4 linked regions of the Medicago truncatula genome follow. The main gene of each other region encodes a partner of the protein of the gene in region 4 in a complex. Links are inferred from orthologs where the notes say so. Each region holds a gene or a part of one and is shown on either strand. Other genes may lie near its edges.

Region 1 (8,802 bases), on a different chromosome or scaffold from region 4:
AATTATAATTATGATATTGTCAAATGACAGGGTTTATCAGCTTCTTGGTGAAGCCGGCACATACTACGGTGTACGCTTCGGAAAAACTATTCCATGGGTAACCGAATTCCCTTTCGGGGTCATCAGTGATCCTCAGTATATTGGCAGCATCATGAGTCTTATTGCATGCCTTCCATGGGTTCCTTTTCAGTACATTCTCCTGTGGGTTTTAGGATACGTGTTTATGATTCGTGTCGAATCAAAGGAAGATCCATCGACTCGTGCAAAGCCACTGAACTGATTTTGTTTCAGTAGATTAGATATAAGTAGGAGTAATCAGTAGCATCTAAGGTGCCGAACTCTTTGTATGTTTCTGTTTCTTGCCAGTGCATTGGAATGTCATCTCTATTTATATGTTCCGATTCCACAAAACTATTTCAAATGAACTGCAAAGTGTAAACTTATTTGATTTCTGTATCTCGACACAGATTTTGGATTCTTTGCAGTCTTTCCATTCAGAGGCCGGCCGTTGGATTAGTCCAATTGACCAAGAGATCTCGAGACCGCTCTCGACATATGTATGTCACAAGCTTGTCAAAGTGTAAACAGCTTTAGGTGATAGCTTTAATAAATGGAATCTTGTGCATGTGATAAGGATTCACATTTTTTGTTTGTTGTTTTGCTGAAAAGGATCCACTTTTCTTTTTCTGTCACAAGATTCATGCTTGTGCATCGCAAAGCTTTCTCGACTTTTATTTTTACGTGTTTTGACTTTCGTTTTAATTCATGTACCTGTTTTTTTATCGCCCCAAAGGAAGCCATGAATTAGTTGATATACATTCCTTCTTTACCATAAGTTTTAACCATAGTTAGCACAACGACTTAACTTGAAGTTCAGAACCCTCGCTGTTTTCCCTCTCTTAGGCTATGCAAAAGCTAGAGAAACATTGAAAGTTTGAATTGCATTTGTTACAGCCTCAACATCTATATTGATCAACTTCCCCGTCTTGGATGATATCACAATGCACTTCTTCTCTTCTGCCCGCGGAACAAACTTGTTTCCCTTCTCTTTAGAGGAAAATAGTGCAACACTGCATAAATTGAGCAACAGTTTTATGGGATCAATGTGATTGTCTTGCAAAGCTTAATTAATGTGCTGTTTAGGGAAACATTATAATTCATGTGAATGGTAAAATTACCTAGGTTTTTCGCGCGCATTTGCGAGCTGAATTGCAGCTGTATTGGTAGCTATAACTCCAGCCGAGTCGTTAATAAGAGCAGCCAACTAAACCATACAACCACAGTTAGGGAATTGAAACTGTTAAAATGAAGATTTGAAGACTCACATTTTAACTACAATAAATTAGATCCACACAGAATTCGGATTGCATGAAGACTATGCCACCGTGGTTTTCCATTTTTGGTCGATCAAAGAAAAAAAATCAACGAGACACAGACACGGACACTAGTTATGTTCAAAAGCCTATTCCTATGTCCCATATTGTTGTCTTTCCCCTTATTTTTGTTATTTCAATATTAAAACAGCATATTTTTTATTGATCTATTCATTCATTTTCATCACATCACAGTTCAATGTTTTGACATTTTTTTACTATTTTATTTTTTTCTCTCTAAGTTTGTTGCATGCAAAATAACTATGAGATACTTGAGTACCTGTCCAGGGGTGGTGATGAAGATTATAGAGGAATCTTCTCCAACTATTTCCTCAACATTTTCCCTTTCTTTCTCATGTGGAATGACAAAAAGTGGTGTAAATTCCCTGTATTCATATGTTAATTGTTAAAATATAGTCCAAAACATACATACCAGAAAATGACAGAATATAAGGAGAAATTGCTTGAGAAACACTTATTTGACGAATACAGTTATGTAGGATACCTTTTTTACTTGAACTCTATTTTGATAAACAACTTAATGAAACGTTTATAGCATAAATGTTTATCATACAAGAGTTTATGTATAAAAATAAGCTGAAAATAAGTTCTAAGCTGTTTTCATAAGCTATTATGGAGAACTTATAAAAATAAGCTAAGAGAGATTCTATATTAGAGGGCAACATTTCATACCTTACAGCATCAGCAATTTCAGCCCACACTTCAAGGGGTAGCAAGCTATCAGGATCACCCCTAGACTGCATTGTGGCTTTTGAGTCTGATTGTATCCCATGAATCACAATATATCTTCCTTTCTTTACACCTGCTTTTGTGTATTTCTCCTCCACAACTTCCTTCAACTTCCTTGAAAGTGATATTTTAAGTGGTGGCACAACCTGCCGTGGAACGCTTCGAAACGGTCTTCCTAGCCAGTCTTCCATTTGATGATACCTAGTTCGTCAAACTCATCGGAAATGGTCCTCAGTTAAAGAAAATTTTCGTGAAAATCTACCAAATGTAAATCTAAATACTATCAGGTAAAAAGTTTTACACTGTCAATACATGATCTAACACTTAAGACTGATTGGCAGTGTAAAAACTGTTTACACCGTGATTTCAAACATGCACAAACTCACATATGATATCCTCCCTCTGAGAGATTTGTACTATCTGGTGTGAATGTTTCAGATAGAAACAATCCTGCTCCTGCACCATTCACATTCGGATAAACATAACTAACTCTATCTCGCGCAGTTGTCATGAATAAATATGCTGCATGGCCAACTCCGGCCAATTTTGTGCTCAAGACCATGTCATAGTACCTACTCTGTAAGCATAACATAACAATAAATCAGTTCCTATATAAAATTTCTAATATATGTACCTTAGAAAGTAGCAGGAAAAATCTGTTAAGAGTTTTGAGCTATGAAGCACGGACAGTCTTCGGATTAGGTGTGTCCTGATGTCGGACACGCGTCCGTATCGGTGCTTTACAAGGTATGATCGATTTTCAGTCTCATATTTCTAAAGAAAAATATCGAAACTTTACACAAACTATTTAAAAAATATGCTTGCCAACCAACCTTTAGAACACCGACAAAATCGGTATACTCAGCAGGCTCAGGAAACTCATCGTCCGGATCAAAAACATTAGCCCATCTAACATTCTTATTCAACTCATAACACTGTTTCCCTCTCTCAGAACCCACAACATCAACCTGAACACCAGGGTACCTATCCTTAATCAACTGAATCATTGGAAAAAACAACAGATTCTCATAAACACCACCAGATACCACACAACAACACCTTCTAACATCACCTCTAACTTTCAATCCTAAAGGAGCTATCTCAACCATATAACCAGCTGGAAACTTCAAGAATCCATAAGGATTTTTTGGATTATCGGGCGGCCTTGGATCCTCGTCTTGTTTACCGTCTGAAAACAACGAACCATATTCGATATTTGGATCTTCTCCATCGTCAAAAGGGTCTAGCCATGGATTGTTCTTTTTGGCATTTACGCGAAGATTTAGTCTTCTAGTTGAATTGTAACAATGTGATGGATGGTCTAATGATGTTAACAATGAAACATTGGTTGGATAAGTTGAAGGAATGGAAAATGTGTTTGTAGTGAAATGGGAAAATGGTTTTGAAATTTTAGAATGTAAATAATATGTTGCAGTTGCAGCCATTGAGATTTTTCAAATTTGGTTCTTTTTTTGCGTTGTTCTTGCTACAAAGTTAGACATGTTAGAGACTAGAACTAGAATGTGTGGAAATGTGTTGGATAAGTGGGTCCCATTTAATCTTTTTTGTATTATGTGCAGCTTCCTTCCTGTTACCAATTATCAACCTTTCATATAGAAAACTTTACATGAGTTCGTGAAAAAGAATCTTATGAGAGTTGTTACAAATAAAAGGTAAAATAGTCCTTGGTACGATATAATAATAGAAGAGAAATGATATTTGTACAACTATTTTGTGACAATTTTTCCTCTCATATCCATATTATCCTCTTATTCATTCTCTTCCTTTTTCTCTCTCCATTATTTTTAACCAATGAAAAGAAAAGAAAAAAAAATTATCACAAAAAATTATATAAAATGGTTGTTCAAATATCACTGCTCAATGTCACATTGAACCTAACTCAATGATATCATGTACTACGAAATTGAAACAATCCCCCAAACCACCACTTTGACATGCATAGAAAATATAACTTGTTGAATCCTCTTTCCTAATTTTAAGTCCACTTCATTGCTTTCAATAAACTAAACACTATGCAACAACTACCTTTACAGCCGATTGCATCCACAATATCTTGGCTCTTATAAATATGCCAAATTCATCATGCACACAAGTATTAATTCCTAGTTTGTGTTATGAATTTCATTAAACGACATATGTATATTATATTTCAAAAATTCAAGTGGACGTCATAATTAAAAAATAAACACAAATAAAAGATTATTTATGTCTATAATCTCTCGTAAATAGACAATAAATAAAAAGCGAATAAATAAAACAAATATAAATTTGAGGTTTTGAAACTATTGTTTTTTGTTTTTTAAGATAGACGAAATGACAAAGTTATTATAAACTCACACACATAAGTGGAGGTACCGTGGTTCGAACCCCGATTATGATATCATGTCTAACGATTTCGACATTTTGTCAGTTGAGTTAGAACTTATGGATGAGACTATTGTTACTTTAGACAATAAGTTGTAACAAAAAAAAAAAGGAAAATGAGTTTCAACACATATCACTTTCTCATATTTATTAAAAATTAAAAAAAAAAAATCCCTTTCACGTCTAGTTTGGGTGGAGATGCATTTGCATGCTGCACGCCACATGAAATTCTTTACTATAAATGGTACTTGTAACTGCCAAATTATCATCCAACTACCACACCTTGAGTTTAAAATTATCAATAATAACATAACATACAAACAAAGTAAAATATTTTAAAATGATGTTTGGTTCACCAAAAATAATTAGTCTCAAATAATTATAATTATAAAATATATAAACAAATTTTGGGAAAAATAGGAATCCATATTAGATTATACGAGATTTTTAACTTATACTCGTTATACAACACACAAAATGGAAGCAAGTTATTTCTTTAAATTTGAATCATCTCTTTCACTACTTCTCTGCATGTCTCACCTAACTCTCGTTTTTCATTATAAAAAAGATAGAGATAGAAAATTAGAAGAGAGGATATATAAATAAGGATTAATAGACCTTTATCCCTCCCTGTAATATAGATCACTTTTGATTTTGTCTCCTGTAAAAGAAAAAATTTGGATTCGGTCCTTGTAATTTTTTTTTGTTTAGAATACCTCCTTAGAGCAGCTGACTGTGCACTATTGCTGATATGGCATATTATGTCACCTTTTTCGAATGACGTGGCACACTGACAGTATAATTATTTTTTTATGGGCACACATGCCATTTATATTTTTTTTTAAAAATTAAAAAACGAAAAAATATTATAAAAAATAAAATAAATTTTGGAAAAATAAAAATAATAATAAAAAACAAAATAATTATGGAAATATTAATATAATAAAAAATTGGTAAAATGAAAAATCAAGAAAATTTAGTTAAAAAAAATCTGGAAAAATTAAAAAAATCTGGTAAAATAAAAACAAAAATCTAGAAAATTTAATAAAATAAAATCTGGAAAAATTAAAAAAATTAATATATTTCAAAAAATTCATATTTCCATATTATTTTCAATAGCGAAAAAATTAAAAAATTTTGGAAAATGAAATTTTTTTTTTTTTTCGATAGTAAGAAGTTTTATTTTATAAAAAAATGAAAAATTTAGGAACTTAAACTATTTCAAAATTTATGAATATAATAAGAAAAGAATTAAAAATGAAAGTTCATATTTTTCTTTCAAAATTAAAAGTTTGGTTTTTTTTATTTTTATTTTATACAGAAAATCTAAATATTTAAAAGTATTTTCATAATTAAAAAAACATAACATTAGATCATGAAGAATAGAATTAAGGGCTTGTTATTAACGGTATAACATGACTTATATACCGGTGTCAATCAATATCCATTGTATCATGTTATTCGTCTAGATTATATTTTCGAATAAAATAAAATTCTAGAAATTAATTTTCAAAATCAAAATAATTATATAATAATATATTTTCAATTTTTTTATAATTTTAATTTAATTCAGACTTTTTTTATAATTTTTTTGAAAATTTCGGTATATATTAATTTTTTCCAGATTTGACCAGATTTTTTAAATTTTTCCAGAATTATTATCATTTTTAAATTTTTTTAATCATTTTTTTTAAATTTTTTCATTTTTCCAGAATTTATTTCATTTTTTAAAAAAAATTAAGAATTTTTTTATTTAAAAAAAAATCATTAATGTCACGTGTACCCCATAAAAAATAAAAAAAATTATACAGTTAGTATGCCACGTCATCCGAAAAAATGACGGAACATGTCACATCAGCAAAAATGTACAGTCAGCTGGCCTAGTGGGGTTTTCCAAAACAATTTTTTTTTACAATGATCGAATCTATATTTTTTTTTACATGAGACAAAACCAAAAGTGACCTATATTACAAGGGGTAAAGGCTTATTAAACCTATAAATAATAGTGAAGGAAATCAAGTGATTAAGGACGAATGGTTATTGAATTTTATCAAATGACAAATTATTTGAAAGAATCTTAATTTGATTATGAGATGAAACAGTTTATGGGCATATTTTACTTATTGTCTTTCCGATGGAACTCCAAGTTAATAGAATCCGTCTCATAATAATCAAGATTGTAAAAAATATAGTCTCAGACATGATCCATTTTGTTATTCCTTCCCTTTTTTGGGTGTATGTGAACGAATATCCTCTATGCATAGTTGCATAAATTAATCATTAAGTTAAGTATAATAAAATATATGATAAACTTTCCTTGAAAAGATTTATCGTGGTATTAAACTAAGAAAAATTTATGATTATTTCCTTTATTAAATTTTAACACATTTATTAGTCTCTTCCTTAAACTAAAAAGAGATATTTTACTTTCGGCTTAATACATGCTTTGGTCCCTTAATTTATTTTCGGATTTCATTTTGGTCCCCTAACTATAAAGTGTCTCAATTTAGTCCCTTATGTCTTTTGGTCCTATCTGTTACATTTTAATTATTTGATCTATTTTTCAAATAGAAATCGTTGGATCATGTAGGTGTATTGTAGCCTACGGTGAATGATTAACACCTGATTTTTTTGAAGCCAAAATATATAAAAAAATTCATATTTTTTTATAAAATACGAAGAAAAAAATATTCCATATTTTTTATAAAATCATTTTCAAAATTAAAAAATTTGAAAAAATTTATTTTTTACGAAATTTTTAAAAATGGTCAGATTTTTTTTTCTACAAAATTCTGGAAAATATTTTAATTTTTAAAATATATAAAAAATTCATATTTTAAAATTAGAAAAGAAAAATATTCCAAAATTTAAAATTTGAAAAAAAATTAATTTTTTACGAAATTTCAAAAAAAGGTCAGATTTTTTTTGTCCGAAAAAAAATGTTTTTTTTTAATTTTTTCTACAAAATTCTGGAAAAAATATTAATTTTGAAAAATATATAAAAAATTCAGATTTTTATAAAATATGAAAAAAAATAATTTTTTTACGAAATTTAAAAAAAAGGTCAGATTTTTAATTTTTTTTTTCTACAAAATTCTGAAAAATATTTTAATTTTTAAAAATCTGGATACAAATTATTTCAAAAATAGATGAAGATTGATGGTGATTTTAAATTTATATTTTTAGGAAAATCAATAAGAATAGAAATGATTATATGTTGTGAGCCTATTGTATACTTGTGTACTTTTCAAATCTAGTTGTTGATCACCAATCTTAAATGACATGTGGACAAGGGTTAACTATTTTTGAAAACAAACTAACGGAGATGATCAAAAGAGGTAACAACAGAAGACATAAGGGATCAAATTAAAATACTTTATAGTTAAGGGACCAAAATAAAATCCAAAAATAAGTTAAGGGATCAAAACATAACATGTATTAAACCTTTAGGGTGTGTTTGTTTCAAGTTATAATTGTTGATTCCCGAGAATAAAATGATTGGAATATATATCCCTATGTTTGTTACAAGTTTACTAAATTTTATTCCCGGGCATAAAATGTTCCTGGGAATAGAAAAAATTTCACAAGAAAAAGGGTGGGAATAAAGTTCCCATGGAAATGAGAATAAATTCATAAATAGTTTACCTATTATAATCCCTATTTTTATAGTTCCTAGGAATATTATAAAGCTAACCAAACATATTTTTCCTAAATTCTTTGGAATAAAATTCCTATCTTTATATTCCAAGAAATGTTATTCTTAAGAATAAATTTGGTAAACTTGAAACAAACACACCCTTAGAAATATTTTACCTTTCACTTTCTCACTCTTTCCCTGCAAGTCTGCAACTTTCTCACCACACTCCACCAACACAAAGCAAAGCTTCTACCTTTTTTCACACAAACAACCAAACTTACCTCATTTTTTTCATCTTCATGCTTCCCAAAAAAGAAACCCTTTATTCTTCTTTCTAGGGTTTTGTGCTCAAACTTGAAATTCAAATTTTCAATTCAAAATCTTTTTTTTTTTATCATCTTTTACTTCAATTCCATCTCTGAAAACTCGAAATTTTCAATTGGGTATTCGGCATTGATCTTCTAAACAGAGATTTCGTGAAGAATATTCTAGAATCTAGGGTTTTGCAATGTCGGGTCCACCCAGAGTTCGATCCATGAATGTCACTGTTGGAGCAGATTCTGATTCCAAGGCAGCTCGTCCTGTGAAGAATGTGAAGAAACCGGTGCCGGCGCCCGAAACGGAGAAGAAGAAAACTTCGCCGCAGTGTGTGGTGGT
Region 2 (7,001 bases), on a different chromosome or scaffold from region 4:
GATTATTTTGGATCACAATAGTTTAATCTGAACAGCAGACATCAAGATAATATTCAAATGAAGATTAGATAAAAGTATATATTAGTAAGTATATCTAACTGAACGATTCAAATTCATAAGAAAACCTCATCGACGATGAAACTTCTATCATCAATTGTTTTTGATTACGCAGAAAAGATAAATCAAGCAAATTTGTTGTGCTCTGTAATGAAGAAAAATTTAGAGGGAAAATTTGGAGAATAACTGACATGGCGTGCACTAAACTAAATTAGTGTCCTCTCTTTGCCCTTTCACAAGGCACCCTGTATCAACTATTGATATGCTGGGCTTTTACATATATCAAAACCTGACTATGTAATAGCAAACCTAACCATCACTGTTAATCAGTAAAACAAAATCAAACCTGTTGGATTTAAGAAAACATTTGCTGTTTCCGCTAATATATTTGCAAAGGTGTCATATTTAGTTCTTGTCTTGTTTTCAGATATTTATATAGGCACATTGAAAACAACTTTTTACGGTAGGTCCTGGTTAAAAAGTAAATGTGAAATGTATTTATTGAAATGTACAGCTATTAAATGACACACCGATCAATAAATAATTTCCATTTTTTCATTCTTAAACCAATGACCTTAAGTCCCCATTAACAAGACCCCTCTTAAACTATTAGTGAAAACATTAAAAAAGAAAGTGAGAAACTAATGCCACTTCTTACACTTTGAGATGCAAAGGAAAAATAAAGCACACTTTTTCAGCACAATAGATTGTAGAAAATCAAGCAACAAAAATCAAATCTCTAGAATGATGATCGGATACTACTTGTAGTCAGTTCGGACTCAGGACTGGCCATGGCAATACAAACTGTGGAAACTGGAAATTATGACAGAAAGGAGTGTTTGTTTGCTTGCAAAATAAATAAGGCATGTGGAAAGGTTGGAGAATGCCTCAAAGCTGGCTTGAGTAGCTTAATTGTAGGTTGTGGTGTTAAGGGATTGAAATCACATATCCTCTTTGTATGTCAGTCCCTCTAATTGAAACAGGACATATCATACATCACTAAAGTATTTCTTTTCATATAGTATTATGCTCCCTCTTAATTAGTTTTCTAGGGGTGTTACTTTGTAATTGGAGAGACATTGAAGGAAATATACAAAAGGAATAGGTGATAATCTGACTCCCAGAAAGAAAATCACATAAAAAAAGAACCTTTATATCCTATTTTTTTCATATCAACCTACTACAATTTAGACAAGCTATACAAATTGAACCCACAGATAGCAAGAAAAGAGTATCAACATAAATATAAATTTGAGGATTTGATTGATATACAGCGTCGGTGTAAAGATGTTTCAAACTGTTAATCAACTATAACCGTCAAATCATTAAAAACATTTGACTTTAATCATCACTAATATTAAAGTGACACACATGATTGGTTGTGATTCGGTCCTCGAACTTTTTAGACTAATAGTGTATCATAAATAAACTCAATTCGTTCCTCCTCCCTTTCTAACTTCAACATACCACTAAATTTGACAAGGCACCTCCTTTGAATTTAGAGTTTATAAAATATCATAACAAAAACTTTAGCCTATATTTTCGTTCTCATGGAAAAGAAATCCAATGAACTTCCCTTGGAATATACTACTAACAACAATGAATCAATTAGCATTTAAAAAAAGGAACCTGATGATCTGGGTTTTGAAAAACAAAACTTTTAGGCTCCTTCACATATACAGTTCCTGAAGTTGGAGTGAATAGACCAGCCAAAATCTTCAAGAGTGTTGATTTTCCACAGCCATTGGGTCCAAGAAGCATCCAAAATTGTCCAGAAGGAATGCGAATTGAACAATCTCTAAGAACGTGCACATCCTTAGTTTGCCTTGCAGTGAACGAGAAATTCAGATTACGACCTTCAATTGCAATACCATCCACGCTTTTGCCCCTGAAAAAACCGTCAAATACACAAACTGGTTGAGCACAAAGTGTTTGAGAAAATGCCGAAATGAAAAATAAACTGAAAGTTAGTTATAAACCTTGTAGTTTTGGTGGGAAGTGAAGAATAGATAGGAGCAACAAGATGATGAGGGGTAAAACTGAGAGAAGAGAGATTCATAGCATTTCCTTCTTCTTCTTTCTCCTCCTTTATCTATTCCAGCGAAAGTTAAACAAAATAAAACGATAAAGTAAAAAGAAAATAGCTTTTGTGTCTGTTTGGTTTTTCAGTAGCAAAAACTTTTTGGCTTAATTGCACTTTTCATCCTATAGTTTGCCAATTGTGCAATTTTGCACCTCATAGTTTTAAACGAGCAATTTTTCCCCCTATAGTTTTCTCCCTTTCTGATTTTATGGTCCTCGTGACATTTAATGCTGGTTTTTTTATCAATTAATGTGTGCCACATGTGTAATTCCATTTTTAAAAAAATAAAAAATGATATTTTTCAGATTTTGAGAGAATGAGCACGTGATTTTTCAGATTTTAAGAAGAAATATCACGTGCCTCCTTCTCTCAAAATCCGAAAAATATAATTTTTTTATTTTTTAAAAAATGGAATTACACACGTGACACACATTAATTGATAAAAAACAGACATATCAGCACTAAATGTCATGGGAACCATAAAATCAGAAAGGGGAAAAACTATAGGGGGCAAAATCGCTCGTTTAAAACTATAAGATGCAAATTTGCACAATTGAAAAACTATAGGGAGGAAAAGTGCAATTAAGCCAAACTTTTTTGATTGAATATATTTTGTATAATTTGATAATAGAAAGTTTAAGGAAAATGACTGTACCAAAAAAAAAGTTTTAAGGAAAATGATTTATATTTACTTAATTTTATTTTAAGTCAATTGAGTTCTTTTAAATATTTGGTTCGGAGTTTCGATCATGAATAATATGAAAAATATATATATATATATATATATATATGTTAAGAGAGGTCAATTCTAATGAATAGGTGAATTCATCACCAAAATTGTAATATCAACCAAAATAGTTGTAATATTTGTGAATTAACAAATAAATCCATGAGATTTATTCAAAAAAAAAAATCCATGAGATTATAAAGTGCTGGTGAAAATAGTTTTTTTTTTTTACAAATGAAAATAATTGTTATGTTAACTTTTTATTAATAGAGGCTAGAACGTAACACTTTAATTGAATATATGACCCCCTTTTAATATATAGCTCACAACAATGTTGCTAGAGCTTCCCTTAAAAAAAAAACAATGTTGCTAGAGTGTTTTTGTCAAAAAAAAAAAATGTTAAAAGAGTGTTATTTGCATATAAAATTTAAGTCTCTTGCAGACTAATTTATCGATAATTAGTTCATTCGTAATTATAATTACTAACCAATTTATCTTTAAAATTACTAAGTTTTATAGACAAATTAGTTCACAGTGAACTAACATGGATGTGAGATGAAAGTGAAATTTGACATATGTAGTTATCATCTCACATTATTGTCTCTAATGTCATAAATTAATGAATTAACCATTTTGAATATTGTAAAAATAAAAACCATTTGCCTATTTTTTTTATAAAAATAAATTGAAAATTGTTTTTTTGACAATGAATATTTCCTATCGACATAAGTAAATGACGTTTTTTTACCTCCAATGATCGCTAACTACCGTTCGAAGAACCACCGGCAGTTAACCGCCGCTGGTGCCAATTCTTCTCTCTATTATGTTATCTTCCCTCCCATCTCTGTTCTTCATTTTCCTTATTAATCCACCAAGGATTTTGTTTTTGTTTTTCCTTTTGTTGTTTTTTTAGCTTAATTTTCATACCGTTGAATTGAATTGGCTTCATCTGTGAGCTAAATTTCTCACTCTTGTTTTTTATGAAATGGGTTTATGAGAAGTTTTATTTTTTTGCCACCCTTTTGATGGATCTTCATAAATTCAATAACTTTATTTTATTTTTTTGCAATATGAAAAAATGGGGATTTATTAGTAGCAGATTAGATCTTTTGGGTATGATGGTTCTCCGTAATTGATATGTGAGATCTGATCACAATCTGCAAATAATCATGTTACGATTTTTGTATTATTAGTTGATAGAATTTGAAAATGAAGAACATAAAAGCAAGTATATCCAAACACATTGAATATGAAAGCTGGAAAATGAAGAACAGAGATGGTAGGGAAGATAACAGAATAGAGAGAACAGAAAAGCAATTTTTCAGCGGTAGTTAACTGCTGCCGGTTCCTGAACGGTAGTTAACTACCGCTGGGGGCATTTAAGTATTTTACTTATGTCATTGTGAAATTTTCAATGTCAGAAAAGCAATTTTCAAACAAATTTAGGAGAGTTGAGCTCTAAGGACTCACTAGAGTCAAGACAGATCTCAAGATTCAATTAACACTTATAAGTCATTCGTGAAAAAGGTCATTGAGATTTGAACCTACATCCACAAATCAACTTTTCATCGGTTGAGTAAATTTTCATTGTTTTTTTTGGTTACAAGTAAATTTTCATTGTTAAGTTAACAATTGTTTGGAAGATAAATTTGTCTATTATTTACCAAATAAAATAAGATGTCCAACGTTAAAATTTCTAGCACCAATTTTGGAAATTAAGTTATTTTAAACTTTAGAAGCTGATGTGAAATTCCTCTAAAGATCAAAACTTTTGGTACACTTGAATCCCTCTTTTTTATGGCGTGACATTATTTGTTCTTATTCACACTACTATAGTGACGTGCCCAACAAAAGAGTCATCTTCTTATCTCTAGTTGTATGTATGGCATTGTGTCTCTCTTAATGGCTTTCTGTGTGTCTCTCTGCTGCTACACCTCCTTCCCTTCTCTTTCCCATTTCTCAAAAACTTTGACAAGGAAACATGTCCGTTCTTCTTTCCCTTTGATTTGTGCAGTTCAATCCGGCGAACCAGGTGGCAGCTCACAGTCACAGCCTAAGAGTTCTGATGCTTCCTCATCCTCCTCTACTACTGCTCCTAAGACTCTTCCTAAGAAACCTGTTTATTCCAGTGAGTCAAGCAACCAAATAACTATTTATTTGGATTTTATATGTATGCTGAATGCTGCTGCTGTCTGTGTGATTATTTATTCATTTTTGTTAATTGTTGGACAGTGAAGAAAGGTCAGATTGTGAGGGTGGACAAGGAGAAATATCTCAATAGCATTAATGTAAGAAGACTATCATTGATTTAGTTTCAATTATAGTTATTTCAACTGTGAGGAGGAGGACTTAAATAACATGTACTAAGGTTAATTTTTCAGTATCTTTCTGTTGGGCACCCACCCTATTACAAAGGATTAGACTACATTTATGAAGACCGTGGTGAGGTAAACAAACAAACACCAAAAGATTATGAAAACAAAATAGTTTATATGATTAGTGTTTATCTAACTAGAAATGTCAAACTGTATTTGTAGGTCTTGGATATGCGTATATTTGAAACAGGAGAGCATGCACTTGTAAGTAACTTGTCAATAGTGTGTGTGTTTTAGGTGTGAACCAAAGGCAGCTGACAGCGTGCCAATTATTTTTCATACCAACAGCATGATATTTGAAGTTTAAGTTTTAGTATTCTAACACAAAAACTGTACCATTGCTCAATTCTCAGGTTGCATGGGTAGGAGTCCCCACTGCTCCAGCTTGGCTTCCTACATACATGCTTATCAAGGTAATGCTTAACTTGTTCCAATGAAATCTGATGTAAATTGTTTAACTTTATCTACATATACGCGACCTATTTTCATTTTAGTTGCTTTGAAAGCACCCAAGTCCTAACTCTTACTTTTTTGTTGCAGTCAGAGAAGCTCAATTATGAGAGGCTATAACACTCCTTTTCTTCTAGTATTGTAAGATGCGAGATTCAAGAAGATTGATTCAAAATACCATCAGAGACGCCCACCATACCCCATTTTAGTTGAGCTGCGTGATCAATTCGAATGACTACTGTCAATTATTTGGAAAATTTAGTTGTGCTACCCAGATGATGTTTTCGGCCATGACTATCATTGTATTTATGCTTCTATATTTTAGTTTTTAATAAATGACATAGTTAAAGATATGATGCACATCAAGGGCAATCATCAGAAAAATAACGAGATGTGAAAATCAACTGCAAATACACTTCATTTGCACCTGTAGGTCAAATAAAGCACTAAAACAAAATGTTTTTTTATATATTGTTTATTCAACAATGCAACTTATTTTCCATGTTAGGGAGTAGAATGAATCTCTTCACTAAAATTGCATAATTGTAGAACTTGAGGTATCAAATATTTAACCAAGATTGAAGGCAGAAAAAAATGCCACAAAAGCTTATAACTTTTGCTCTCCAGTCATTGGCCTCAAACTTGCATTTATATGTGATACTTTTGGATGGAAAAAAAAAAAAGAAAAAAGATTTCAATTGCCATCATAGAACATCATATATATGAACTCTCTCTCAATCTAGATCCTCTGTGATTAAGCATCTTTTATTAAAAGAAAAAATATCAACTATAATTGGAACAAATTACCAACATTTTACTGTGCTGTGCAAATCGGCGACATCACAGCTAAGGCACTGTCGATGCATCAGGATGCTTCCATACACATCCAACAACCTGTTTTATTGTTCCATAAGCTGAATTGTCAAATGTGCCTAGTTAATGATGTTGAAGAATAGTGAATTTTCTTTTTACTAATGTGATTGATCAAACGACTTTGAATTGGAAGAAATCGAAAAGTGAGCTTCACTAATTCTAGAACACTTTCCAAAGCAGATATCAAGTTATCAACCATGCCATGATCTAATAAATTTTAAAATCTAAGAAGGCTATGCCTTTCCAACTTTAGACTCTTTCCCCATATGTGGAATGGGCTTAAGCCAGGAGAATGCGTGAAGCTTTCGGTTCAAACTATATATTATCAGATATAGCTGGCCTGAATCAAAATTTGGAGAAGAATTACAGGTTCAAATTTTCATAAGAATTCATTCACATATACAAATATCAAAACAAAACAGAAAATTTAAGGCCA
Region 3 (8,083 bases), on a different chromosome or scaffold from region 4:
TTTTAATATAGGAATTGTTTGTCACTTTCATTTGCTCATGAGAACAAGCCACAACCACTCTTTTGTGAATCAATTTTTCTTCTAATTACTTTTTCCTATTCCACATGTTTGATATGTTTATGTGAACTATCACTTATAATTTGGTTTTTTAAGCAAAGCAATTTTAAAAAACGATTTCAAATTTGCAATACTCCATATATCATTATTAATTTTTTAAGTGTCCGACTTTTGATTTTGAATTTTCGCTATAATAGTATTTTTTTCTTCTCTTTTTTTGTTTTTTTTTTAATCCATGACTATTTACACTTCTTCTAAAGATATTAACAAGTTTCTTTTCATGCTTCACATAATTAAGTAACCTTTCTATTCTATTTTGATTTAGTTTATTTCATTGATATTTTGTACTTGAGGTTATTGTTTGAAGTCTAATGTTTTCATATGACATTGAACATTTATTTTGCTTTCAACTGTTACTAAAATAGTCAGGATAATTTGACATGTTTTTCAGATGAAAAGTATTGTAGGCAAGTAAGAAGTCTCACCGTGCTAGAATGAAATATTTCCAACTGTGTAGTTAGATAAATATTATGTGATTGATACTCTTAGGTGTGTGCTCTGTAAAACATTATTTATCTACTGTCAGTTCTAAAGTTTGAAAGAATAAATTATTTTATCTTATAAATATGTTTCTAAGATCTATTGTTATGTTTCCTTAAAAAAAACGATCTATTGTTATGTTCTGATATCATTTTCAAAAGCAATGTACAACTTTTTCAAGTCTTTCACGGTGTTTGTTGATAATTCATTGCCTGGACTGAAACATTTTCCATAAATAGCCGCATATTGTAAAGCTAGATATTTTTTAATAAGACTAAAGTTTTAGTGTGGTTAATTGCATAAATAATAATTATTAGTACTAATAAATAAAGAGAAATTTAGGGTGCACAATGGCTCAAATTGTTGAATAACTTAGGTTAAGTAATTGCAACACTCCAAAAAAAAAAAGTAATTGTAACACAACACTCACCTTCAATCTGTTAACATTGTAGGCACTTCTATAGAAGATACTCACATGATGGGGATCCCTTAGGTTAGTTGTATTTAAATTCAACTATGAAGATAATGGAAAGAAAATAAGTTTGAGGTCCGACCATTGTGTTCCATTTAACTTTTTTTTTTTCCAAAACTATATAAGCTCTATTAGTTAACTTTTTCTTTTGAAAGGATTAGTTTAACTTAATTATTATGACAAAAGGAATGATGATTTAATTTTTCCAGAGCATCTTTCATATAAGTAAGTAAGTCACGTTTATTCTTTTTTTGATAGGTCACTTATGCTTATTCTCTTTTCCTATTTTTAATTCTTCAATATTTTTTCCCTATTGCAGACAAAGAAGAAAGTGCCATTGTTGCTACAAAACTCAGGGTGGAGCTAATCTCAAATGAAGCTTAATGTGTATTTTTTCTTTTGTGACATTGTGCATACAAATTGTAAATAACAGTGGCGTGGTAAAGTTTTATCTCAGAACATTTTGCACCACCCGGTTTAGGTGAAAAGTTTTATCTCAGAACTCTACTAAATTATGTCAAGGGTCCTACATCTTTCGAAGACATAAAAACGGTGGATAACGTCAAATACTTTAGTTTCAAAGACACTTGCTTTGCGATGGGACTGTTGGACGATGACAGAGAATTCATTGACGCCATAATAGAGGCAAGTTTGTGGGGTACGGGCACCTACTTGTGAAGACTTTTTGCAGCATTGACGGTTTCTGATCAGCTGTACAGACCAGAGGTTGTTTGGAATAGCACTTCGCCTAATCTAATTGATGACAATTTGCACAAACAAAGACGTGTGCTTGGTGCGCCTGGTAAGTCTGATTGTTAAATCTGTATAGTTTTTTTTAAGGTTAAATTTACTTATTTGTCTGGATAGCTAATCTGAATACATCACTTATTTGTTAATGGCCGGTTAATATAGAGAGCGAAACTTATGCATCAGCATTGTACTACATGCTTAATTCATATTGCAAACCTTTGTGTAGGAAGATTAGATACTAGCCAGCCTGAATTACACTATATTTCATGACTAATATACTCAAAGAAATTTGTAGTTTGTTGGTGTATAGTGGAAAATAACGTTAACTATACATGACTCAATATTAAGAGTATATAATTATATTAGTTTACTTAAGGCAGGGAACTCAAATTTTGTCAATTATATTAGCTTAATTCATATTGTCAATTGAACATGGCATTGTCAAGAGTTACTTCAAGAGAAGGTTTGAAGATTTTAATATCTAATGACGATGGTGAAGACGATTGTGTAACATCTAATGTGGTTTATAGAGAGGTTTTTCGTAATCTTTCTTAATTTATGTCATTTGTATGATTGAACATATTTATAGTCTTTTTATTTGTATGAATGATGTAATACACTATCTTTATTACCGTACTAATGACTTATTGCTATGAAGGCTTATACAAATTTCTATATTATTGTCGGTTTCTACAATCTATATGACCCGTGCGCCGCACGGATCGGCGTTCTAGTAGATGTTAATGGCTATTTTTTCTATACCAAAGGGTCTCAACAATTCCAACAATGGGACCCGGGTGGATGTTCTCTTGTTCGAGGGCAAGGTTTATGTGACTTTAGCAGTTACTTGAAAGTCACTAGTACTACTACTCTTCAACATTATTATCTTGGCTTCAACCTTGAGGACAAGGTTGATTTTAAAGGGGATGGTAATGTAATGAGTCTTAGAGTTAGAAGGGGCATTATGGGAAATAGGAATATGGACCCTTATAAATATGAGAAAAGCCAAGGAAATAAGTATGAAATGATTGATGTAACTTCTTCTCCTTCTCTCTAATTCTCTAGTCCCTCACTTCTATTTTTCTTATTCTTATTACATTCCTTTGTTACCTATTACTCTCTATGAGAGATTCCAATTACTAAGTTGTAATGCTTAATTGAGTGAATCAATGAAATTTCATTTACATTTTTATTCCAATTAAGTAGAATCATTACAGAGATAGCGATAGAGAGATACTTACATTTCCTTTATCAAAGTCTCCTCCTTGAATCATGAAGTCCTTGATGACGCGATGGAAGGTGGAGGACTTGTAGCCAAAGCCCTTCTCACCGGTGGAAAGGGCACGGAAGTTCTCAACAGTTTGTGGGACATCATCACCAAAGAGTCCTATCACAATCCTTCCAACCAGCTTCCCAACTGGATTTCCAATACTAACATCAAAGAATACTTTGTGAGTCACTTTTGACTGTACTATTACTTTCTCCTCTGAACTACTACCACTTTCCACTGCCCTCACTTTCACTTGTCGTCGTACTGCTACTGCTAGTTTCACACCCCCACCTCGGGACCTAACCACCCCGACGGAAATACTTCTTCTAGGGTTAGGGTTCAGAGCAACAACATTTGACTGACCACCCAACCAAGAAAATCAATCATTTAATAAAAATGAATTCAACACCAATTAAATTTAAATTCAAGTAATAAAAAAAATATATATTACCAGTGAGAAAAGTGGCGGTGTTGTAGTAACATTGAATGCAGCAGCAGCAGCCATCGTTTGGTTAAACACCGAAGAAGAAGGAAGGAAGGATATCGCGCATGCGTTAAAATTGGGGAGGATGCGACCAATCTATATCTATTCAACTCAAACCCATGGATGGATTCACCACCATTTTTTGTGGGGGCCACCACATTATAATTAAAACTAAAATAGAATTGGTTTAGATTTCATTTGCTAGAGATTGCATTTAATTTAATTAAAATTTAGACTAAGATGTATCAAATTTGATTTGATTTAATTATTTTATTAGGTTAATAAGGGGGAAAAAATAAACTACAACAAAATTCGATATTTCATTTATACAGTGGCTTAAATATGCAAACCGTCTCTGTAATTTTGCGCATTTTTGCAATTCGTCCATGTATCTTTTTTTGTTTCAAAACTCTCCTTGTAAGCTTTTTTCGTTTTGCAAATGATTCTTCCCGTTAACTCCCGTTACAAAAACGGCGAGGTGGCAGGCGGAGACATACGTGGCTTAGTGTGACTTGACAAAAGGAGGGTTACGTGTCAAAAGAGTTGGTGAGTCATCCTGTCTTTTGATTTCCCCCCTATTTATTGAAAAAAAATGCTCTCATTTTCCATTTCGTCCTTGTGAAATAGGGTTTCAGAGAAGTTAGAGAGTCATGGTGTAAGAACAGAGACGAAGGTGAGTTGACGGTGAATCACGGCAACGAAGTGTAATCAACAGTTAGCGAAGGTTTTTGAAGGTGATCGACGGTAGAAGAAGCGGTTTTTGGCTTGCGATTGAGGTAGAACATTCTAACCTATCCTCTTATTTTTTTCTTCTTCTTATCTTTTGTTTGTTGTTTGAATCAAAAAATCTTTGAATGCTAGTTTATAATGATGTAAAAGAGTAGAATGGATGTCGTTATATGTTGTTTGATGTTGTTTTATACTTGTTTTTGTGTTGTTGTTGCATGTGGTTTTGGTAGAGACGAAGATGAAGGTTTATTAACAAAGTTTATGTTTCTAAAATTTGACAGGGATGAGTGTGTCAATTGTATTTCACCATGGGGGTGAATTTGTTACGGACTATATTTTGTATTACACTGGGGGTCAAGAACACGTAGTAGTAATGGGATTGATAGGGATAGGTGGTGTTACTTCGAAGCGACTGGTATACTAAAAGAGTTAGGTTATGATGATCACCTTAAGTATCATTTATGGTGGTATGTTATTGAAGATGATAAATACAAAAGGATTGTTGATGATAATGACACTGATATTGTTGGTGATTATGTTATTGAGAACAAACGTGTGGCTCATTTATATGTTGAACATTCAGTTATAGGGATGGTAGGTTCACATGTGGGGTAGAGTTCTATGGATGTGGGGCAGAGTTCTATGGACTTGGACATGTCAGGGGGAGTTGGAGGTCAAGAAGGTCATGTAGTTGAATAAGGCACAATGAATGAAGCTGATGGTGTATGTGATGATGAAGAAATGAGTGGTGATGGTTCTGATGACTATATGGGAAGTAGTGAAGATGAAGCTGCTGGAGTAAGATTGGATGATAGTGAAGAGGAAAAAGCTATGGGCATGAATGATGGGTTTTTAGTTGAAGATGATGAGACTCCTCCTATAGTTGGTAATGCAGTGGTAGATAAATTTGAAGTAGATAAAATAGTCACAAGGAAGGGGGGTTTGAATTGTGACCCTTTAAAATTAAACCTGTCACTTAAAAGTTATTCTCAAGTTGAAAACTTGGAATGGTTAAGTTAACAGACAGACTTCAGAACGTTCTGAAGTGTTAGTATAAAAACAATTTAAATAATTAAATGTGTTTGTGTGTGTTGTGTTTACTGTAAGTAAATAGTAAAGAGAAGAGAAGAAGAACACACAGAAATTTATAGTGGTTCCCCCAATGTGGGTTAGTCCACTCCTCACAGTTTTGTGAGATTTTCCATTATGATGCTTGAGATAACTTCTCAAATTCTGCACCTTACAACCTTGTTCACCTGAACAATTACAACAATTGTATTCTCTTAGCCTCAGCAGACTTACACCTTTCTTGCTAAGTTACCCACTTAGACTTTACACCTTTCTGCTCAAACTAACACTTTAGTACCCCTAAAGCTAGATGAGACTTTGTTTACAATTTGTATGGAGTTTGAATGATATAGATCAAACAAGAGATGAATAGAGGGAGATATTTATCTTTAAAAAGATAAGAGAAATATTGATTTACACTTTTGAAGACTTCTTGGAATCTTTGTGATGATCAATGTTTTTGCTAAAGCTTCAAACACTCTTATGTTGTTTTCTTGTATGCTTTGCAAATGTGTGTGTTATGCTGAGGTCTTGATCTCTATTTATAGAGTTCTTGAGCCTTTGTAGCCGTTGGAGAGTGACCAATGGTCTTATGCCACGTGTCCTGGGACCCACCAACTTTCACTTGAAATTCTGGGCAAACTGAAATACTTCAGAATGTTGTTGTGTTCTTGAGAATACTTCAGAATGTTGTTGTGTTCTTGAAAATACTTCAGAATGTTGTTGTGTTCTTGAGAATACTTCAGAATGTTGTTGTGTTCTTCATGAATTTCTGGGTTGTACTTAAAGATTTGCTTTACACGACTTCAGAATGTTGTTAGATCAGATCTTCTTTGAAATATGTCTAGGAGCGCGTGCAGGATCTCATAAAGTGGTGCTGTCACTTTGTAACGCCCTCTTTAATTATTTGATTATTTTTATAGAGTTTAGAGTTTATTTAGATGATTTATGTGATTTAAATGATTATATGATGTGTTGTGATTTATTAAGTGGCTTATTTTATTATTTAATAGAATAAGATTTGAAAATAAAATAAATATTGAGATGAAGGGTTGTTTTGAGAATTTAGAGAGTTTTGTGGGAAAATGAGGAAATAAGATAAAATAGATGGGAAAAGATAAATAGGAGAAAATAGGTTTAGAAAAGTTTTCACGTACAACCAGTTTTGGAGAAAAGGGAGAACAAGAGGAGAGAAGAACCAAGAGAGAGCTGCTGATCGATTTTCTTAAGGTAAGAGTGAGACTAACATTCAATCTTCTTAAGCCTTTAATTCTGATGATTAGATTTAACATGTTGTAGGGTTAGTTTTTGAAAATTGGAAATTAGGGTTAAGAGTGATAATTGAGGATTAGATGATGGAAACTTGTAGAATTGATGTAGAAAGTGTGTACAGACCTCAAATAATTCATAGTGTGATGTTTAGAATCAGTTTTAAGCTTAGAACCATGTGAATTGATGCATTTTCGTGAAAATCTGCATTCTGCCCGAGCTGACATTCATCGCTCGCCCTGGCGAGGGATGATCCTCGCCACACGAGTGATGAACTTCATCGCTCGCCTCGCGAGTGACCCTTAGTTACTCGCCATAGCGAGCAGATCACTCGCCATAGCGAGTTGACCAGTGAGGAAACCTGATTTTGTGATTCAACTCCTTTAGTCGAGCTTTAGATGATTTTGAGTGCCTGAACATGTATAATAATAATTAGGCAAGTCTTTAGATTGAAATTGAACACGGGGAAGTTAAAAATGAGATTTTTGGGTGAAAAATGTCAAGTTCCCGAGAGCACCCAGTTTCAGTTCGCTAAGGCGAGTAGCTTACTCGCCAAGGCGAGTAGCCATTTTCCTGAACTCGCCATAGCGAGTAGAGTGGCTCGCCTCGCGAGCTGCAGAGAGACATAAAACCTTGTATAGGTTTTTGCGATCTTTGTCGCACGAGATGTTATGAGTTGATCCTTGGGGTAGGAATGAAGGTTGATTATAATATTACTGATGTTCAGTGACTCTGATATAATATGATTTGATGTTGTTAGTAATGTGATGTAGTTGTATATGCATTATGTGAATTATATAAGATGTTTAAGTTGATGTTGATTATTATTTGGTATTGTTATATCTTGAGATGTTATGTGCTGCCTATGTTGTTGTTGTATATTAATTAAGCTGCATGATGATGAGATAAAATCGCAAGTGCACGGTCTTACCGAAGTAGTATGAAAAGAGTATCGTTCCGACAGGGAGTAGTTTAATTCAATTAACCTTTGATGATGATTAGAGGAGAAACGAGTTGTAAGTTGGGGGTTTCAAACGATTGAAAGATAATAATATAAAAGGAGCCTTGGGATCATTGGTTCATCTAAATAACAAGTCCTTCACAAACCAAACTATAAGCTTATAACTTTATGTTAGACCTAATTTCTCAAGACAGTTTCTCTTTTGTTCCTCTAGCAACCAAGCCTATTTCGCTGACTTGATTACTCTTAGATTTTGGTTCCTCTAACAACCAAGCCTATTTCGCTGACTTGATCGTTATTAGTTCCCTTGAAGATCGAAACTATGTGTCTCAAAGATTGCAAAGACTATTTCGCTGCCTTTGCAATCCTTGTCTAAATTCACTTGTTCGAATATCAAAGCTCCACTTTCGTTTTATGAATTGATATTTGAGATAATGGATAAACGATTATCAAACCCTTTCGTTTGCACAGTTTGATAATGGT
Region 4 (8,328 bases):
GTGAAAATATAAATTCCGGTAAGCTCCACAATCATCAATACTAACAACCATTGCCTCCGCCCAGAGGTAGTGGTTAAGGAATGCACAATTTGCAAGACAAAGTTACTATTTTAAGCTTCTTATCAAGTGTCTTTAAGGCACTTGTTAACATTTTTCTTAATAAAATGATAATCTTTAGACTTTTGTAGGCACTAGGCAAACAATAGTGATGGCACGATTTTGACTCATCCACATTTTTCTATCTACAGAATATGAACATTCAATTAAGATACTTAAATCATGGGACTCGAATTTTCCAGATGTCTTCCAGATCCATAATAGTAGAACTGAACTGGTCAAGGGGCATTACTTGATGCCATGCCATCACAGCTAAGCAGACCCAAGGTCTTTATTTACCAAGACTTTTTTGCCTAGGGTGTTCCATTTTCCTTGGAGCACTTAATGCCAATGTTAGTAAAATATTTTCCCAGTTGCAAATTAAGACAAGTGGTGGAGAGTTTGATTTTGGTTGGAACAATTCTCGACTAGACTGATTTGTTTTTCGACTTAACTCCAGATATTAAGTCAATAAAGTATTATATTTAGAGACGGGTGTAATAACTGAAAAGTAACAATAATTTTGTAAACACCAACAATAATAGATCTAGATCTAATCTAGTAACAAAGTGTAAAGGAAAACCACAAGCAAAGCAAGAACAAAAATAAAAAGAGTAGATAAACAAACACACCGATATTTGGTTACTCAGTTCAGATTTCAGAATGATCTACGTATGGAGAGAGATATCTCGGAATCACTGTCAATGTGTTTCTTACTAAAAGATACAAAGGTTACAAGAAATCTCTACAAACAAACTAATTTCTACTCATTTCCTAATCTCTTCCCTTTGTCAATAGACTCCAAGGTTTTTACTCACCCAAAGTGTTTATGATGTTTCTCAACCCATGAATCTCCACTAAGGACACGCAACTGTTAGCCTCTATGTTTTCTAAAAGTTCTCTATTTTGGTTTGACAAGATTACACAATAACGATGAAAGAATGCTTAAATAGCAGTTATGAACCCGAGCGAATCACCTTGTGATCTTCAAAAAGCTCTGCCATTTCTAGCGATTATGGGAAATTACCTTGCGATTTTGGGTCCTGAGCAAATCGCCTTGCGATCCGAGGCGATTTTTCCAGGATCAAACCAATTCCAAACTTCCAAAATAATTCCTCTGATGAAATTTGAAGGCACACGCAACAAATGTGGAAAAAAAATGTTGAAAGAATCCTAACTCATACATTTTTTTAGACAAGGGGAGTAGCATTCTTAAGTTTATGTTTGCTTTAGAATAGAAATAGGGAATATACACATGTTGATCAACATAAAAAAGAAAAGCAAGAAAAGTAACAAATTTACAAGGGAATCCTTCATATTCATTATACTTTAAGAATTACCATGCACATATATAGACAAAAACAAGAAAAAAATTATCTCTTCATTATGTCATCCTTCTTGATAGTAAAATCCCAAAGGTCTCCATATTTTTCATTGAAATCCCATATGCTCATGGAATTATAGTCATTTATCAACTTGTCTCTAGCTCCTCTTTCCATGTTGTATATTTGAGGTTCAAAGTGATGAGGTTGATCAGGTTTATCCATCTCAATAATGCAAAATACAATTGTAAATATCCCTGCTCCAATGAACAAGTACTCTCCCTGAAACAAACATTGTACTTAGGATTAACATCAATTACTTCTTCCTCAATGTATCAATTGATTTCTAGATTGAGTATTTCTTCATTGATGTCAATTAACATTTAGAATTACCGGAACATCGAAGAATACCCCAGCAGCAATGGCTGGTGGGAAGAGCCATGATATAAGCCCTGCATGAGAATCAAACAATAATCGAAATCAATTATTACAGTCAAAATTTTGGTCAAGGGCCAGCTCAAGTGGCAAACTTTGATGTTGCGGAGATTTGTGGTCAAATGCAGTCGATGCTGCTTCAAACGCGGCTGCAGTGCAGCTGTGGAGACAGAAATACTTTGATATCGCTGATGTTGTGATCAAAGTCGCAAACATTTCTGTTTATAAAACTCCGCAATTGCAACACAACCACGGCTTATTTATTCATTAGTCATTCTGATCAACTGTTTGAGCTAATTGAACTACAATTTGGAGGTTTTACGGGCTCAATCACTCGTCGAGTTTATAAAACATTCTTGTAAACCAAGTTAGAAAATGATAGATATTGGTGCAAGGAAAACAACATACCTTGAAATCCAGTGGGGGGTCCTACTGCTATTACATCATCCATAATGGCACCCCAAACTGTTCCTGAAATTAATATCCATCATGAACTTTGTTAGAAAAACATATACACGCTTGATCAGGAGCATTTTTTTTTTTTTTTTTTTCATCATAGATTTCCTCCACAATAGCTAATGCCTTTCTTTTGGTAGGGATTCAAAATTTTGTTCGCCACATTGTGAAAGTCTAAATTCAACCCAATGAGGTGTGACATAAGACATATCGAGTTCAAATCCTTCGACAATAAAATCAACACCGTCTCTTTAATTAATAACAATTTCCTTATTCTCCAGGTTTTCAAAATAAAAAGTATCCAATTACCATGAGTGCCACATACTTCAATTTCCATTAAAAATAGAACTGATTGAAAAATAAAAAGAAACTATAAAACTAAGAAAATAAGCAATGAAAAAACAAATACCTTCCTTTTCTTCACCTTCATTAAAAGTATGATGACCATCAAATATTCCATACTCAAATTCTTCCTATAAAATCCACACAAAAACAAACCAAACTCATCACAAAAACAAAACTATAGTATAAAAGTAATTAAACAAAATGAAGTATATATATGAAAAATACAGGTGGAATGCCATTAGTGCGAAATTGGTCAACAGGATCTTCATTAAGGTCAGGCTCAACAAGATTGAAACCAGCATTCAACAAGAATTTTGTTGAGTTATTATTACTCTTGGTGAATATGCCATGAAAGTTGAGTGGTGTTGGTGAAGAGAAGGATTTTGAAGTGAGTTTTGATGGAGTGATGATAGGAGGGACAAGTGAAAGTGAGGAACATAGCGCCATGTGTCAGACTTGGTTGGTTGGTTCTCTTTCATATGTTATCTCCACTTTTATCAACAGCAACTATTTTTTTGAGGAATCACCAACAAATTTTATCTACTTAGATTATTAGATATTTTGGAGCTTATGTTGATTAAATTACTACCACGTTAGATTTTTGTTAAATTACCCTTGATAATTTAACTCTTTGCAAAAAATAATTTGTCTTAAAATGATTGACATTTTCAATGTTGTTATAATTTTTTTTTTAATAATATACTAGTATTTGAGTGAAGTTGATATGTTAATTTGAACAAAACAAATGTTACAACGAAAAATCAAACAAGGCTGTGTTAAGATGACTAACAAAACATGAAAATGAGATGTCGAAATTACAAAACATATATTCTACTTTTCATTCCAATTCTATTAATTACATAACGGTTAAGAAATACTATAGATTATTTTGATAAATGAAAGCAATAAAATTCCATAAAGAAAGTTACATTTGCGATCCTTTCACTTAATTATCGATAATTATTAGGTCCTTTATTTTTTTTAAACTTATTTTAGTCCATTAGCATATAATTTTTAAGCTTTCATGTATAAATATATTAAAATAATAAAAATTTCGATCGTTATTTCGATCTAAGTTAAAGGACCAACAAAACAATTTTGCCAAATCAATATAACTCCTTTCCAATCAAATCCTAAAAGTCAACTACTCCAAATACAAAGTGCAAATCTTCTTTCTTCTCTTCCAAATTGAGTCACATAATCCACACTTGTTCTTCTTACCAACATTACCAAATAAGCTACTACATTAGCATACAAAATATAACATTGTTTCAAGGTTGAGAAATGCAGTCTGGTGGAGAAGATGCAACCACTGAGAAAGAAAACTATGCTTCTCTCTCCAATTTACTTCCACACTTTACTACTATTCCCAACATTCACAAAGCATGGCTTTTCAACTCACACACTACCAACAGTAAGCAATTCATAACCATCATTTATTTCACAGTTAGTTACTATACTAGTGTGTGTTAACTTCGCATCACGTTGGATTTGTCAGAATCACTTTGATTATTACTATATGAATTCTATTAGTTAGAGTTAGTTAGGATGTTAGTTAGTGTTTTTTGATAGTTAGTTACTCAATAAGCTCTATATATATAAAGCACTTATATACATTTTATACATCTTTTATCGATATGATTCCTTATGAATTTTACTCTCATTCGAGCTATCAAAGCTCTTTTATTACATTTTCTCATAATCTTCACTTATATTGCTAATTAAGGATGTTTTATTTCTGCTCCATAGCACAAGGAATGTTTTCTATCACCCAACCAGATGTTTTAACAAACAAGAACAAGACTTTGATTCTGTCCTGTAACTTTGTTAAACAAAAAAGTGATGGTTCTGTTGTTGAGTTTCTGTGGGCTCCGTTTCCAATTGAGATGCGTGGTGATGTGTCTATGATTGTTCCGTCGCCTTCTGGTTCTAAGCTTTTGGTGATTCGGAATAGTGACAGTGAAGGAGGGGGTTCTTGTTGCTTTGAGATTTGGAGTTCTTCTTGCTTGGAAAAGGAGTTTAGTATTCCTCAATCAATGCATGGATCGGTATACAATGATGGATGGTAAGTTTGATGACTTATGAGATTGAGATGTATTTATTATTATTAATTATTCATGTATGTGAGTTTGCAATGTTGAATTCAATGTTAAAGAGTTGCAATGGAACCAAAGCCTTTTGGCTTAATCGGTTGTAACCATGGTTTTAACACTCGCATAACAAAGTTCTACTAAAAAAATGCACAATAAAGATTTGTTTGTTTATTTTACCTTGGTTTAGGTTTGAAGGTGTCTCTTGGAACTTGGATGAAACATTGATAGCATATGTAGCAGAAGCACCCTCTCCTACAAAGCCAGTATTTAATAATACGGGCTACAAGAAAGGTGGTTGTGCAGAGAATGATTTTGGTATCTGGAAAGGTCAAGGAGAGTGGGAGGAGGATTGGGGAGAAACATATGCTGCAAAGAGACAACCTACACTTTTTGTTATCAACATCAACAGGTTTTTCATCATTCATATTCATGTCAGATATTATTTAGGATCAATACTCAATAGTTGTCAAGTAGCGGCAATAGAGGCACTGTAGCGCTGTCGCACAACATAACTTTATCTAATTGCTATTGTGCGATGATACATTGTTTAGTACAAAGTGCTCTCAAATAGTGGCTCTATCGCAGTGTAGAATAGCCAAATTTGAACAAACTGCTATTTTCCGAATTTCACAATTCACAACAGAGTAATCTTACTTTAACTAGTATTTTCGCAGTGGAGAGGTGCAAGCTGTCAAAGGAATTGACAAATCTTTGAGCGCTGGCCAAGTTGTGTGGGCTCCATTTACCGAAGGCTCAGAACAATATCTTGTTTTTGTCGGGTGGTCATCTGGGACAAGAAAGCTTGGTATGAAGTACTGTTCTAACAGGCCTTGTGCATTGTATGCGGTTAGAGCACCGCATCACGAGTCACAATCTGAGGAACCAGAACATCAGTGAGTCACTTTAGTAAGAAATTCTTAACTCCCAATTTTTTCATATCTTTTAGAAAGAACAAACTTGTTGCTAAGTTTGGTTAATTCTGAAAAGAATGATGAAACTAATATTTTACATATAGCTCATCAACTGAAGAATTGCATGCACTGAACCTAACTCCAACAATAAGCAGTGCTCTTTTTCCACGATTCAGGTGGAGTCAGCTACTTGTGTTTAATTTTAATATCTACTAGTATATGCGTGGTGTCCCTAAACCGCTAACAATTATTCATGAATTTTCTACCAGTCCAAATGGAAAATTCCTTGTATTTTTATCTGCAAAAAGTGCTGTGAACTCTGGCGTGCACAATGCTACAAATTCACTTCATAGGATTGATTGGCCAACTGATGGAAAACTGTACCAATCTGCCAATATTTATGACATCGTAAGCTCTTCTTGTGGCCATCTTAATTTGGATGTATTTGGTTTGTTTGCAGGTTGCATTTTTTTTTAATTTAGACTTTAGAAGTCTAGAATAAACTCCTAAAGTAGTCCTCTAAAAATTATGGTGTCCTGACAATATAACATTAGTCTTCCAAAGAATTTTCACCAAATAAGTCTCTCAACGATCTAAAATGTCACACATTTATCCTTATGGAGGGGCTAAAGTGGTTCTACGAAATGATATGTTTGGTAAATGCTTTGAATATTTGAAATTGAGGGTCTGATTTGGTGACATGCTAATCATTGGAAAACCCATTGGAAATTTTGTTGCCAAGCAATAACAATCTTTAAAGCACCTTAGCTTAAATATATTTTACTTAAAATGTGTAATCTTTGCAGAAGTCATAAGGTGATGTTTTTGACAGTTATTAACTCTGGCTTTTTCAATCAATTCTGAAGATTCCTGTTGTAATGTGTGCTGAAGATGGTTGTTTTCCTGGGCTTTATTGTACAACTGTCCATAATAATCCTTGGCTTTCTGACAACTGCACAATGATCTTATCATCCATCTGGCACAGCTGCGAAGTTCTACTTTCTGTGAATGTGTTGAGGTAACTATATAACAATAGGAATGTTTTTATCCATCTATTAATGGTTTATGTATTCATGGTTATCAGCTCGTGATTCATATCGTGAATCAGCAGAACTATTTCCCAAATCATGACTCAAATATTATTATAAATCACAAGAACTTTCTTGAATTGAATATTATTATGAATCATAAGGCACATTACTAATTTAAGACTCAAGTCTTAAATCAAACCACAAAAGAAAAGTGGCCGAGTATAAAAAGTTGATGAAAAAAAGTGGGACTTTACTAAATTCAGGAAATGATTCATTAAAATGAAATGGGATACATTGAGTTCCATTTTGTATCGATTCGAGATATGACTTGCATGTATCATAAGATACTGGAAACTGTATATATTCTTTCTGATAATTTTTTTGTCATTATAGTGGGAAAATATTACGTATCAGCCCAGCAGACTCAAATTTCTCGTGGAATCTTCTTACGCTGGATGAGGACAATATTCTTGCCAGTAAGAACAAATTCTCAGTTTTTCACTACTTTGGTCTTCTAAAGTGGAGAAGTGTGTTTTATCCCATTTCCTTGTCAACTGTTTTGCAGTTTCCAGCAATCCAGTCAATGTTCCTCAAATTATGTATGGAATGGCCATTGAGAAGACAAAGGGAAATTCTATATGGAGTTGGTCAAAGATATCCAGTCCCATACTCAAATGCTCTGACAAGGTTTGTATTATGTATTTCTTTAGGTATATTAGTGGAAACAGATGTTTCAAAAGTATATTATTCTATATGTTTAGATGTGAATCACTGTACTTTGGTTGCAGGTTAGATCTTTGCTGTCCTCTATCCAGTGCAGTATACTGAAGATCCCGGTCACAGATGGCTCTAGTAATACAACAAAAGGTCTTTTAGTTGCTTTGGTTTCTTGGTCATGGATACGTAACATTAAGTTGAATGACTTAATGAGATTTGAAACATGTTTTAATTTTTGTGTGTGTGCGTGTGTGTTTATTCTCACAAAGTAGTTGAGAAAATATCTTATTCCATCTTATGGAACTCACTCTTTATCTTTTGTTGTTTCTATATCAATGAATTTTCATGTTGGAGATCTTGGAGCCTGTTAGGTTTGAGGAAATGTTTTTTGATTGCATATCTTGTTTTTTTAAAAACAAAAATTTCATATTATTTTCACTCTGTTCCTGTTTCTAAGGATTTGGTTAAGAAGCAACATAAACTATAGAATTCATATAAGAATCTCATGAGTTGTTTGTTATGTTACAATTGAGAGCATTGGACACGTTAAATTGATTAAAAAATCTTTTCATACAGTGCAAATATTTATTTGGTAACCACATACTTCTATAACAAATCCAACACATTATATAGTGATAGCTATGCGTAAATCTTAATCGAGTTTTTGGGATCACTTAACCGACTGTCTAATATGTGTTTATCCTAAGTTTTATTTCAGGTGCTGCTAAACCTTTTGAAGCTATATTTGTCTCATCCAAAACCAAGAACAAGGATGTATTTGATCCATTAATTGTGATCCTTCATGGAGGGCCACAAGACGTCTCTTCGTCACACTTCTCAAATTCTTGGGCGTTTCTATCTTCAGTTGGATACAGTTTGCTAATTGTAAATTACAGGTAATACTTGTTCCTGAAATGCAGTT

Evidence for each region.
Region 1: photosynthetic NDH subunit of subcomplex B 5, chloroplastic (region 4) and photosynthetic NDH subunit of subcomplex B 1, chloroplastic share a complex: the UniProt entries of both Arabidopsis thaliana proteins name them as parts of the chloroplast NDH complex. The link is inferred for Medicago truncatula from reciprocal best matches to the Arabidopsis thaliana genes PnsB5 and PnsB1.
Region 2: photosynthetic NDH subunit of subcomplex B 5, chloroplastic (region 4) and NAD(P)H-quinone oxidoreductase subunit O, chloroplastic share a complex: the UniProt entries of both Arabidopsis thaliana proteins name them as parts of the chloroplast NDH complex. The link is inferred for Medicago truncatula from reciprocal best matches to the Arabidopsis thaliana genes PnsB5 and NdhO.
Region 3: photosynthetic NDH subunit of subcomplex B 5, chloroplastic (region 4) and photosynthetic NDH subunit of lumenal location 5, chloroplastic share a complex: the UniProt entries of both Arabidopsis thaliana proteins name them as parts of the chloroplast NDH complex. The link is inferred for Medicago truncatula from reciprocal best matches to the Arabidopsis thaliana genes PnsB5 and Pnsl5.

The regions. Positions count from the first base shown.
Region 1 is NC_053045.1:956,108-964,909, reverse strand, and holds photosynthetic NDH subunit of subcomplex B 1, chloroplastic, read right to left. Parts: upstream 3,662-8,802; 5' UTR 3,569-3,661; coding exon 2,957-3,568; intron 2,701-2,956; coding exon 2,510-2,700; intron 2,325-2,509; coding exon 2,067-2,324; intron 1,760-2,066; coding exon 1,654-1,759; intron 1,265-1,653; coding exon 1,179-1,264; intron 1,071-1,178; coding exon 905-1,070; 3' UTR 752-904; downstream 1-751. Other genes in the region: phosphatidyl-N-methylethanolamine N-methyltransferase, read left to right, coding at 31-280; probable GMP synthase [glutamine-hydrolyzing], read left to right, coding at 8,654-8,802. UniProt on the Arabidopsis thaliana protein: NDH shuttles electrons from NAD(P)H:plastoquinone, via FMN and iron-sulfur (Fe-S) centers, to quinones in the photosynthetic chain and possibly in a chloroplast respiratory chain.
Region 2 is NC_053044.1:47,465,782-47,472,782, reverse strand, and holds NAD(P)H-quinone oxidoreductase subunit O, chloroplastic, read left to right. Parts: upstream 1-4,669; 5' UTR 4,670-4,745; coding exon 4,746-4,995; intron 4,996-5,099; coding exon 5,100-5,155; intron 5,156-5,248; coding exon 5,249-5,314; intron 5,315-5,404; coding exon 5,405-5,446; intron 5,447-5,595; coding exon 5,596-5,655; intron 5,656-5,782; coding exon 5,783-5,812; 3' UTR 5,813-6,161; downstream 6,162-7,001. UniProt on the Arabidopsis thaliana protein: NDH shuttles electrons from NAD(P)H:plastoquinone, via FMN and iron-sulfur (Fe-S) centers, to quinones in the photosynthetic chain and possibly in a chloroplast respiratory chain.
Region 3 is NC_053042.1:56,646,007-56,654,089, forward strand, and holds the start of photosynthetic NDH subunit of lumenal location 5, chloroplastic, read right to left. Parts: upstream 3,706-8,083; 5' UTR 3,595-3,705; coding exon 3,541-3,594; intron 3,448-3,540; coding exon 3,061-3,447; intron 1-3,060. UniProt on the Arabidopsis thaliana protein: NDH shuttles electrons from NAD(P)H:plastoquinone, via FMN and iron-sulfur (Fe-S) centers, to quinones in the photosynthetic chain and possibly in a chloroplast respiratory chain.
Region 4 is NC_053046.1:18,566,702-18,575,029, reverse strand, and holds photosynthetic NDH subunit of subcomplex B 5, chloroplastic, read right to left. Parts: upstream 3,160-8,328; 5' UTR 3,102-3,159; coding exon 2,880-3,101; intron 2,783-2,879; coding exon 2,719-2,782; intron 2,325-2,718; coding exon 2,262-2,324; intron 1,871-2,261; coding exon 1,812-1,870; intron 1,701-1,811; coding exon 1,470-1,700; 3' UTR 1,246-1,469; downstream 1-1,245. Other genes in the region: acylamino-acid-releasing enzyme, read left to right, coding at 3,939-4,068, 4,404-4,719, 4,935-5,156, 5,422-5,640, 5,763-5,834, 5,928-6,066, 6,525-6,676, 7,083-7,165 and 3 more. UniProt on the Arabidopsis thaliana protein: NDH shuttles electrons from NAD(P)H:plastoquinone, via FMN and iron-sulfur (Fe-S) centers, to quinones in the photosynthetic chain and possibly in a chloroplast respiratory chain.